2 linked regions of the Tribolium castaneum genome follow. The protein of the gene in region 2 binds, or shares a complex with, the protein of the main gene of each other region. Links are inferred from orthologs where the notes say so. Each region holds a gene or a part of one and is shown on either strand. Other genes may lie near its edges.

What was found. The genes of interacting proteins can lie anywhere in the genome.
Region 1: Mettl14 (region 2) and fl(2)d share a complex: the UniProt entries of both Homo sapiens proteins name them as parts of the WMM complex. The link is inferred for Tribolium castaneum from reciprocal best matches to the Homo sapiens genes METTL14 and WTAP.

Annotation. Positions count from the first base shown.
Region 1 is NC_087399.1:5,869,394-5,873,419, reverse strand, and holds the start of fl(2)d (pre-mRNA-splicing regulator female-lethal(2)D), read right to left. Parts: upstream 2,801-4,026; 5' UTR 2,590-2,800; intron 2,529-2,589; 5' UTR 2,503-2,528; coding exon 2,322-2,502; intron 2,178-2,321; coding exon 2,053-2,177; intron 1-2,052. Other genes in the region: sialin, read left to right, coding at 3,861-3,891. UniProt on the Homo sapiens protein: Associated component of the WMM complex, a complex that mediates N6-methyladenosine (m6A) methylation of RNAs, a modification that plays a role in the efficiency of mRNA splicing and RNA processing.
Region 2 is NC_087399.1:165,879-170,877, forward strand, and holds Mettl14 (N6-adenosine-methyltransferase non-catalytic subunit), read right to left. Parts: upstream 3,669-4,999; 5' UTR 3,540-3,668; coding exon 3,474-3,539; intron 3,424-3,473; coding exon 2,825-3,423; intron 2,773-2,824; coding exon 2,265-2,772; 3' UTR 1,991-2,264; downstream 1-1,990. Other genes in the region: phosphatidylinositol 3,4,5-trisphosphate 3-phosphatase and dual-specificity protein phosphatase PTEN, read left to right, coding at 1-97, 566-686, 736-922; BicC (protein bicaudal C), read left to right, coding at 4,013-4,235, 4,283-4,689, 4,744-4,974. UniProt on the Homo sapiens protein: The METTL3-METTL14 heterodimer forms a N6-methyltransferase complex that methylates adenosine residues at the N(6) position of some mRNAs and regulates the circadian clock, differentiation of embryonic stem cells and cortical neurogenesis.

The sequences.
Region 1 (4,026 bases), about 5.7 Mb from region 2:
CAGAACATTAAAAATTTAATTAGCACCTAATGAGTAACATTTCTGAACAGTAAAAAACTACACAAACATAACTTACCTATGTTTGCTAAACATGAAGAAAAAATCCATTTTGCGAGGTTGTAATGTCAATTAGAACACAAAAAACTTCGAGACAAATATTAATGTATAAAATTGTTTGCCTATGATCAAAGGTTTCTTTAGCACAAACAAATTCTTGTCTGTTTAATATTTATTTTATTACTAATTACGTTTTGTGGAACTTTCAAAATGTTTATTAAGACAAAAAAGATTTAAATGACTAGAAAATTTATAAAAAAGGACAAACCTTTAAACTTTAAAGTGAATATTACGTAAATTGCACAATTTACTGCTAGAGAAAGTACAATAATTATTAATTTGTTCATGTAGAATCCAAATTTAAAACTTATTTTTTCTATTGGTCTTCCTTTTTCGCATAATTACTTTTTTTAAGCACCATTTTACGAAAATACTCGTATAATAATGTTGATTCCTAACAATTTTTTGTCTAAAAACGAAGCAAATCGCTTTATTTTGATACCTGTTTCGTTAATGGATAATAAGACAGCCCTATCTTGGCATTTATTTTAAATAAATTTATTTTTACTATTTTTCTATAGGTCTTTCTTTTTCGCATAATTACTTTTTTCAAGCACCATGTTACGAAAATACTCGTATAATAAAGTTGATTCCTAACAATTCTTTGCCTAAAAACGAAGCAAATCGCTTTATTTTGATACTTGATTCATTAATGAATAATAAAACAGCACTATCTTGGCATTTACTTTGAAATAAGTTCATTTTTAACAATTCTTTGCTTTAAAACAAGAAAAATACCTCAAACCGGTTTATTTTATTAATAGTGTCGTTCAATAGGAAAGGCTTATCTTCTCTTAAAAACGACCCTTTAAAGCACAGTATTTGGACACTTATTTCGTATAAATTAAGTTATTTTCATCTACACTACGCGTAGAAATGAACGAAATTGTCTGAAAGTATAGTTTCTCTAATTCATCTAGATGTTGTTTTATTAATAAATGCACTGAATATCAACGATTTGTTCCTTAAAAACGAAACAAATCACGTTGTTATCGTGCGTGTTTCCTCTAAATTTGGATTTTGCATTCAAAAATCAGCACAGACTGCATACTTTTCATAATTTAACTTACTTTGCTTTACAGAAAAAAAAACTTGTGTAACCTGAAATGCGATTTCTCGAAATCAACATCACAAGAAGTATAATGTAAAGTAAGAAAAGTAGTAAATTTGTTGGATAGTGTAATTAACACAATCGTATTTGAATGTCTTCGCCCTACTTTTCTTTACCTAGTAAAAATATTTTGGATGAAAGCATCACAATTCATTAGTAGACAAGTTTTTTATTCTTTTATAAAATTTTGGATTCCAAACAACCTAAATCATTAATCAGTCTCGTAATAAATAATTGAACATGTAATACTTTGTAAAAGCAGATAATCTCCTTATTTAATAAACACAACAGGAAATGTTTTGTCTCAATATCTGATCGGAAGGAGCAATTTATTTTAGTTTTTTAGTTGGCTGAAGTCCAAAGCAGCCAACGAAAAAACTAAAGTGATTGATCGGATATTTCTGACGAAGGAAAGTAAATCGTTTGATATTTCACTGTAAGACTGAATGGTATTGATCCAAGGTAGTAAATTATCAAACATTCCTTAAAACCAGGCGCATTTCTGAACAATACAATAAACAGACAGAACACAAATAAAAACTAGTCATTTTTGGTAGACTGTTTACTTTGGCCAAGTAAACAGCGACTATACTAAGCATAGTGCGGCGTTAATTAAAGTCCCCGTTAGGGAAAAGTAAGTTTTTGAGTTCAGCGTTCAAATCAAAGTTACTGGTCAATTGTGGACACCTTGTCATTGTTTCCGTCTAGTGCAAACACTTCACTGTGTCACTTTGAATTCGATTCCACTCAGAAAAGCTCGTCTGCACTCCGGCACCCACCCCGCGCTTAAGAACATTTGAGTGGCAAATAAAATGATTACTGACCACGTAGTCCTGCGTCTCCTGCTCTTTGGCAGTCAAGCGCCTCATCAACACCCGTTCCCGTTGCTGGGACTCGTTGAGTTGGTTTCGTGTCTTGTCCGTGGTCTGGCGCAGGTCCTCTAGTTCGCCTGCAATCACGACGCATTATCACTTCACCGATGCACGAACGACACTACACTGCACCACTCATCAACAAAACAGACATAGAGATTGACAAGGAATTTTTGTGGTGGTGGCACTGAAAGACACACTAGAGTAACTGAACTAAGTACCTTCCTGCTGGGCCAGGCGCCGTTCCAGGGCCGCGATGTACGCGTCCTGCTGCCTCCACCGGCCGCACCACTCCGCAGGGCTGAGGGCCCCCATCTCCGACTCGCTCACCAGCACTCTCGCGGGGGCCTTGTCGGCGGGGCTGCCGGGCTGGGCCTCCGGCCCGCTCCCTCCCTCCGACATCCTGCCGAATCAAGCCTCGACTGAAGCTACAACGTGCCCCCGGCGGCCATTGTTATCCCTGAAGGAGGTTGCGGTGAAAATACTCACTTGAGCGCGGTGCCTGCCCCAAAGTGGGCTCTCACTTAGGCAATGTTCGAACGTAAACACGAAAAATGACGCGGGGCCAACGGTGAGACATCTGAAATCAACAGGGAACGCAGCATAAAACAACGGACACACTGAAATTAGACGCCATTATTCACTTTTTGACATTTGGACGCCGTCGGTAACGCAGCGAGCGACTTCGACGGGCTGCTGGACGCCGGTACAGCAACGCTCAAAGCTAACGACACCACATCCTGTTTTGCTGGTTGCATACAATAACGCCCAATTGATCAAGCAAAAAGCATAGGGTGTTTCGCGTCATTTTACGAGGCCTGCGCCCAACAACACATATTCCAATACGAATTAGATCTTTGTTACTCTGAATTACATATGATCTCTTCTGAAATACAGCTGAATAAAAAAATTAAGATTCGAGTTTGCAGGCAAAAAGTTTCAGTATTTATTGTTACTTATGGTGTAGATGACTGTGGAAAATAATACAAAAAATATAAATTTTTGTCACTTGCCGTTTCATTTTTAAGCAAAATTACAAAAATTTTGGATTCATTTACCCAAAATCACGTTAAATTTCGGGAAATTGTCGAAATGATTTACTTTTATCTTGTTTGCTATTCTTCTGCTATTAATAATTTTTATTTGACATATCATCAATAAATTCATTACATCGGCTTTGCGTTTACAAAATATTTCGGTCAAAATATTTGTGGTAGATAGCGAATTTTAATCGTGTCTTTATTTAGGCTTCATTACATGTAACTTTTTTTGTGAAATTAATCATCACACCTCAGGTCCGATAATTGCAAAATGTTAATTTTCGGCTTTATTAACGCATATATGACGTGTTTCCGACGTGATAAATGTAAAGAAATCAATCAAAAACTGTTTATCTCCCTTATCCTTGTCATCGTTATCAAATTTCGTTATTTACGATACTCTCAGCCACCGTAAATTGATCAATACACTTAAGACAAATCACATGTAATTAATTAAGCCGCAAACTCATAAATAATTCGTTTTTCGTCCACAATCGCGTGATGTCGTCGCTTCTGGAGGGGATAAACCGGTGAGTGACGTCGTTGGAGGTATAGCAAAGGCGGTAAAAATTGTAAGCGCCGTTTGGTTAAACACGAGTATGCGGACACTACTTCGAGAGATTAGACGTGCACCTAAATAATAAATGACGGGTGTTTGAGATTTTTTTTAATTAATTTATCAAAATTATTTATTAAGGTGTGAAAGTGTCCCGTTTCAGGATGGCTTCGGCGAAGACGCGCAAATGGGCAGGTGAGTCAAGTAGGCTGGGTTTATGGCGGATGTAGGGAGGGCTAATTCGCCAATTCCCCTTCCGGTGTTTCAATTAATTTGATTCAATTTGTACTAATGTGATCTCCGGTCCTGGCATGCACTCCACGTGGGGCC
Region 2 (4,999 bases):
CCTGAAATCCCCCGATTATCTCAAGACACACCTAGCGAAAGTTCAGAAGCCGAATGGTCAGAAGAAAACGATTCAGCAGAAGAAGGCTGGGAAAGCGGTGAGTACACGACACTTGTCAGGCAACCCGTCCAAACCCAAAATTAGAATAAAATTCAGAAACAATTAGAGGAAAATCCAGTGATGTTATTTGTAATAATTATTAAAATTTCAAAGTGTCATTGTTGCTGTTTGAACAGAAAAAATATTATTGTCTCTATCTGTTAAAAAGAGAAAAAAGTATTTATTTCATTAGGATGTAGTTGTATAGTTGACGAGTATAAAGTGTGTTGTGTAAGCTACAAAAATTTGGCTTTGTAAAAGAATATATTTTCCTTGATCTGTTTTGGTTTTTTCGAAAAGACTTTTTCGTTTTTGTTGTTTTTATTTTAAATCCAAGTACAACGCTTGCGCAATCCATTTCATTCATTTCGTGTTGGTATTAACTCTCTCTCTCTCTCTCTCTCTCTATGATCGAATCATCTGCATGTGTCTTTACTAATCTATGTTTGGGGTTAATCTCATGCAGTCCTGGATGAAGGCGAGACCCTAATGGATGATCCTCGAGGTGTTGGCTACAGAATATTATCAGAATGCGAGTTAGCTTCGCAACTAACAACATCAAGCAGCGGCGACCAACAACCGGAATTGTTGACTGCGTAACTCCATGTCTAATCGTGCATTTACCAGTATTTCTAGATTCGTTTTTGTTTATCTACCCTGGGCGTCCCTCAAGGCTCGCATCCGAGACCGTTTCTATTCGCAAGTAATAATAACACAAAATCGAGTACAAAAAGCAGCCGGATTACAGTTTATTAAATTGGTGTGTCAGTCAGATAGATTATTAGGGAACAGCGACGTCTACCTCAAAATTTTTTCTTCGTAGGACAATCACATTTTTTGCTTAGTGATGATTCTGGTTTTTTGAATTTAATAAACTGTATTGTGTAAGCTCAAGTTGTAAGAATGTATTTTCCGTTAATGAGACAATGATTAAAAAGATATAATAATTCTCTCGTTGGTCTGATTTTTATTATTATTTTTTTTTTCGTATAAAAAGCCTCCGAACAAATACGGATTTCAGGTAATTATGTGTAAATTGTGCTTGTGCTTATTTGTGTTGTGTGTACAATGTTGGGAAATCAGTCTTACTTAAATTTATTTCTAGGGGAGTCCACGTACCTGTGAATGGGAGGCTCAAAGGGCATGCATCGTACAAAACTGTAAATATTGCATGTAGAGAAGGGATTGTGTCATTATTTTTTTTTGATCATTCATTCATCCGCTTGCTTTTTTTAAACCAAGTTTAAAATCAGTCAAAACACTTTTTAATTATGAGAGTACAAATGCTTTTTTGATCTCATTTCATTTTATCTTGCCAATGTTAGTACTTTGGTTACCGGTTATTATAAGATTTTTGCCATTTTCCCCCTAACCCTCTCCCTAGTTTTTTTTGTAGGGAAATTTAGAAATGAACTAATTGTGAACCGAATTGCCAGTACAATATGAAGACTGAATGAAGAATAATTTAACGATCCAAAACTGTATACGATTTCTTGTTCAGGCTTCAGTTCTAATTTTCCCTAATTTTATAATTGTAATAACTTAACGAAAATTTCTCTCTTCCCTAGAAAAGGCTGTTAAATTATTTTATTAAGACCAATAATTTGTATGCTCGAATTATTTAGTGCATAGTTTTTTTCTCAATGTATTTTTTTACATTAGGAAGTACCTTCTTATAAGTTAAACTTAGAACATGTTTTAATTTTTCTCTTTGTGTTTCAACAATAGAAACAAGTTGTACTTACGATGCCAAATTTTGTTAATGTTTTAACTGATTTTAATTGAAAACAATCTCGAACCCAGTGTATGGTCTTCAGAAAAATATTTTTTAACATGGTACCAACCAGTTTTATAATATAAAAATTGTATTATAAGGTTAAAGTAACAAAAATTATGTGACTGCGTCATTATTATTGAACGAAAATAAAGTAAACCACTATTTTTATATATAAATACATAATTGTATGGTTATTATAGTTTTTATATTGATATTGCTTATTGTGATTGTGATCCAAGATTAATATTATATTTTAAGTTATTAGATCTGAGAACACTGCTGGAGATGATTTGGTAGTGTCATAATTTTTTCAAATCAGATCTGAGCGCACTGCTGGAGACTATGGTAGTGTCATAAATTAAAAATAAAAGCTTTAAAAAGTGTTTTTTCAACGTCCCCTGCCACGTCCTCGCTGAAAGTTGCCCCGACCTCGTCCTCCGGAATTTCCTTTGCCCTTTGGAGGCGGACTTTTCGGCCTCAAAGCTTCAATTCGTTCCGTACATCCCGTCGTTATATTATTATTAGTAAAATAACTCGCGTATAAATCGGCATTGAAATTCGAATTTGTTAACTCGGGACCGATCGTTAACCAACCTGGACGTATGGTACTGTCTCTACCGAAAATGTGGAGGCGCCGACGCCCCAAACAGAAGTGTTCGATTATATGGAAAATTTCAACCGGTTTTTCCAAACTTCCATATTCGTTCTCTTCCGAAATGATCAAATCAATGTCGACGTTGGCGTGAATAAAATCCCCGTCGGTTGACCGCCGAACCGTTCCTTTAATACCCATAAGACAGTGTTCCTTTGTCCTTTGGAACACTGCTTTAGGGTCAAGGTTTTTCGAATGACCTGGATTTTTTATGTTTGTGCGAATCCAACAAATATCCTCGCATCTGTAATTAGATTTATTATTACAAAATTTTGGTCTAAAAATGGGGAAAATACCGGCGAAAGCCCCATTTTCTGAGACACACGCGCCCCATGTCAAGTCCATCTGAACTTCCACACCACAAAAATACGAAACTTCGTTGCGCTGCCACTTCCCCCACATCCAAATTCATGATTTGGTCCCATGGCCAGAACTGCATATTTGTGGCCCCCATGGTTCTCTGGTATTCTTCCAAAGGTGGTTCAATTAAAATCACATCAAACTTACAATTTAGGTTTTTCAAATCATAAGTCGTTAAATCACATTTGAGATACATAGGGGGATTTGCAGTTTGTGCAATAAGTTCGTCTTTTAATTTGATTAATTCACGTAATTTGGGGTACTCCTCAAACCGGTCCGCTAGACCGACATCGCGGATGAAATTCTGGGGTCTTTGACCAGTGTCGACAAAATGTTGGCAGTAGTCATTATGGGGGTTCGACGATTGAGTCCCTTTGAGAAAAGTTGAAGAGTCACGATAGACCAATTCATTTGGAGTGTCTTTCTTGTAGTCGTATTTTTCGTTTTCGTTGTTGGTGGAATCGGGACGTCTCTTAGAGACCTCGGTTGTGGTTCCTAGGACCTGGCGGAGCTCCTCGGGGTTGGAAACACCAAGCTTAAACATTATTTGTCAGTGATACATAACCACATTTTTACTATACGTACAGTTTGAGCCAGAAGTTGCTTGCGTTTCCGTGATTTCTCACGCAGGTGTTTCATAACTTCACCCATTTTCAAGTGCAGACGGGTTTTATCAACTCATTTTATTTAGTTTCCCCGCAGTTTTTGGCAAAATTCGGAAAATTGATGATAATCAAGTAGCGCCACCGCTTGACATATCGTGGCGGTAGATTTAAATTGGGGGATGAATTATTTGTGGTAGAAATAAATTGTGTAACACTTAAGGACAAATAAAGTTTTGTTGAAATACTTTATTTCTTTTATTTAGAAACCTGAAAAAGTTGGCAAATAGTAAAATTTGGCGCTTACCTGTACCAGAGTACTTCAGATAAGATTGAAGAAAAACATGCTGAGAAAAAGCAGGAGATAAAACTTCTCTTTGGCCCTTATCAGAGTTCAGTCGCGCAAATTACCAAAAGCGTGTCACCTACACAGCCCTTAAAAACGCGTAAAAATCCTTACAAAGTGACCATTAAATGGGGTTAGTCATTAATTAATTGTGGACGTAGTGATTTAAAAAAAAAATGTCTTGTAATTGTGCTACACCTCGTGGAATCGAGGTAAAAAATTCCGACACACAATCAGAAGTGTCGGAAAGCGGCACGGCTACTTCTGGTTTCAACTCAAATTGGGGCTCCAGAGAGGAATTAAGGGATTTTGTTGCCAAACACGGATTAAAGGACATTTCGGATTTGTACCAGGACCGGTTCCGGGTCGACCGCAAAAAGTTGGAACAGATGCTTAGTGGTAAGTAAAGTTTTTTTTGTAATTTGTGAAATTATTTGTAAAAAAAGGGGACAACGATGCACTGATCCCTGCTGACGTTTTTTTTGCGAACATTATGGAAGACACTGACACTTACATAACGTGGCCAAACAAACTCAAATTGGGGGCTAAATCGAAAAAGGATCCTCACGTGAGGATCGCCGGCAAAGAAGAGGATGTTAAAGCCGCCAAAGACAGGATTATGACGGTTTTGTACACGAGATGCAATCGTGTAACCATGAAAATGGACATAAGTTACACGGACCATTCGCATATTATCGGCAGAGGAGGGCTGAGTATTAAACGTGTCATGGAAGAAACTCAATGCCACGTACATTTCCCTGATTCGAATCGTTCGAATCCGATGGAAAAAAGCAATCAAGTTTCGATTTCGGGCGATTTGGAAGGGGTTGAAAATGCAAGGAGTCGCGTTAGGGTATAGTTATCAAACATTTTGAATCCAACCCTACCACTAGTACAATCATTTCAGGAATTAATTCCGCTGATTTTTGGGTTTGAGCCTCCAATAATGGCCCAAAATATTGATAATACGTGTCCTTACGTAATTAAAATCCAGGAACAGTACAAAGTGCAAGTCATGTTCAAAACTAGGTCCAAACTTCATGCTACTATAGTACTAGTCAAGGGAGTCGAATGGGAGGTGGAGCAGGTGAAGCAGGCTACAATTTTGCTCATGGAATACATGTGCGAAAATTTGACGGTACTTATAAGTTGTGTTTTCCAAC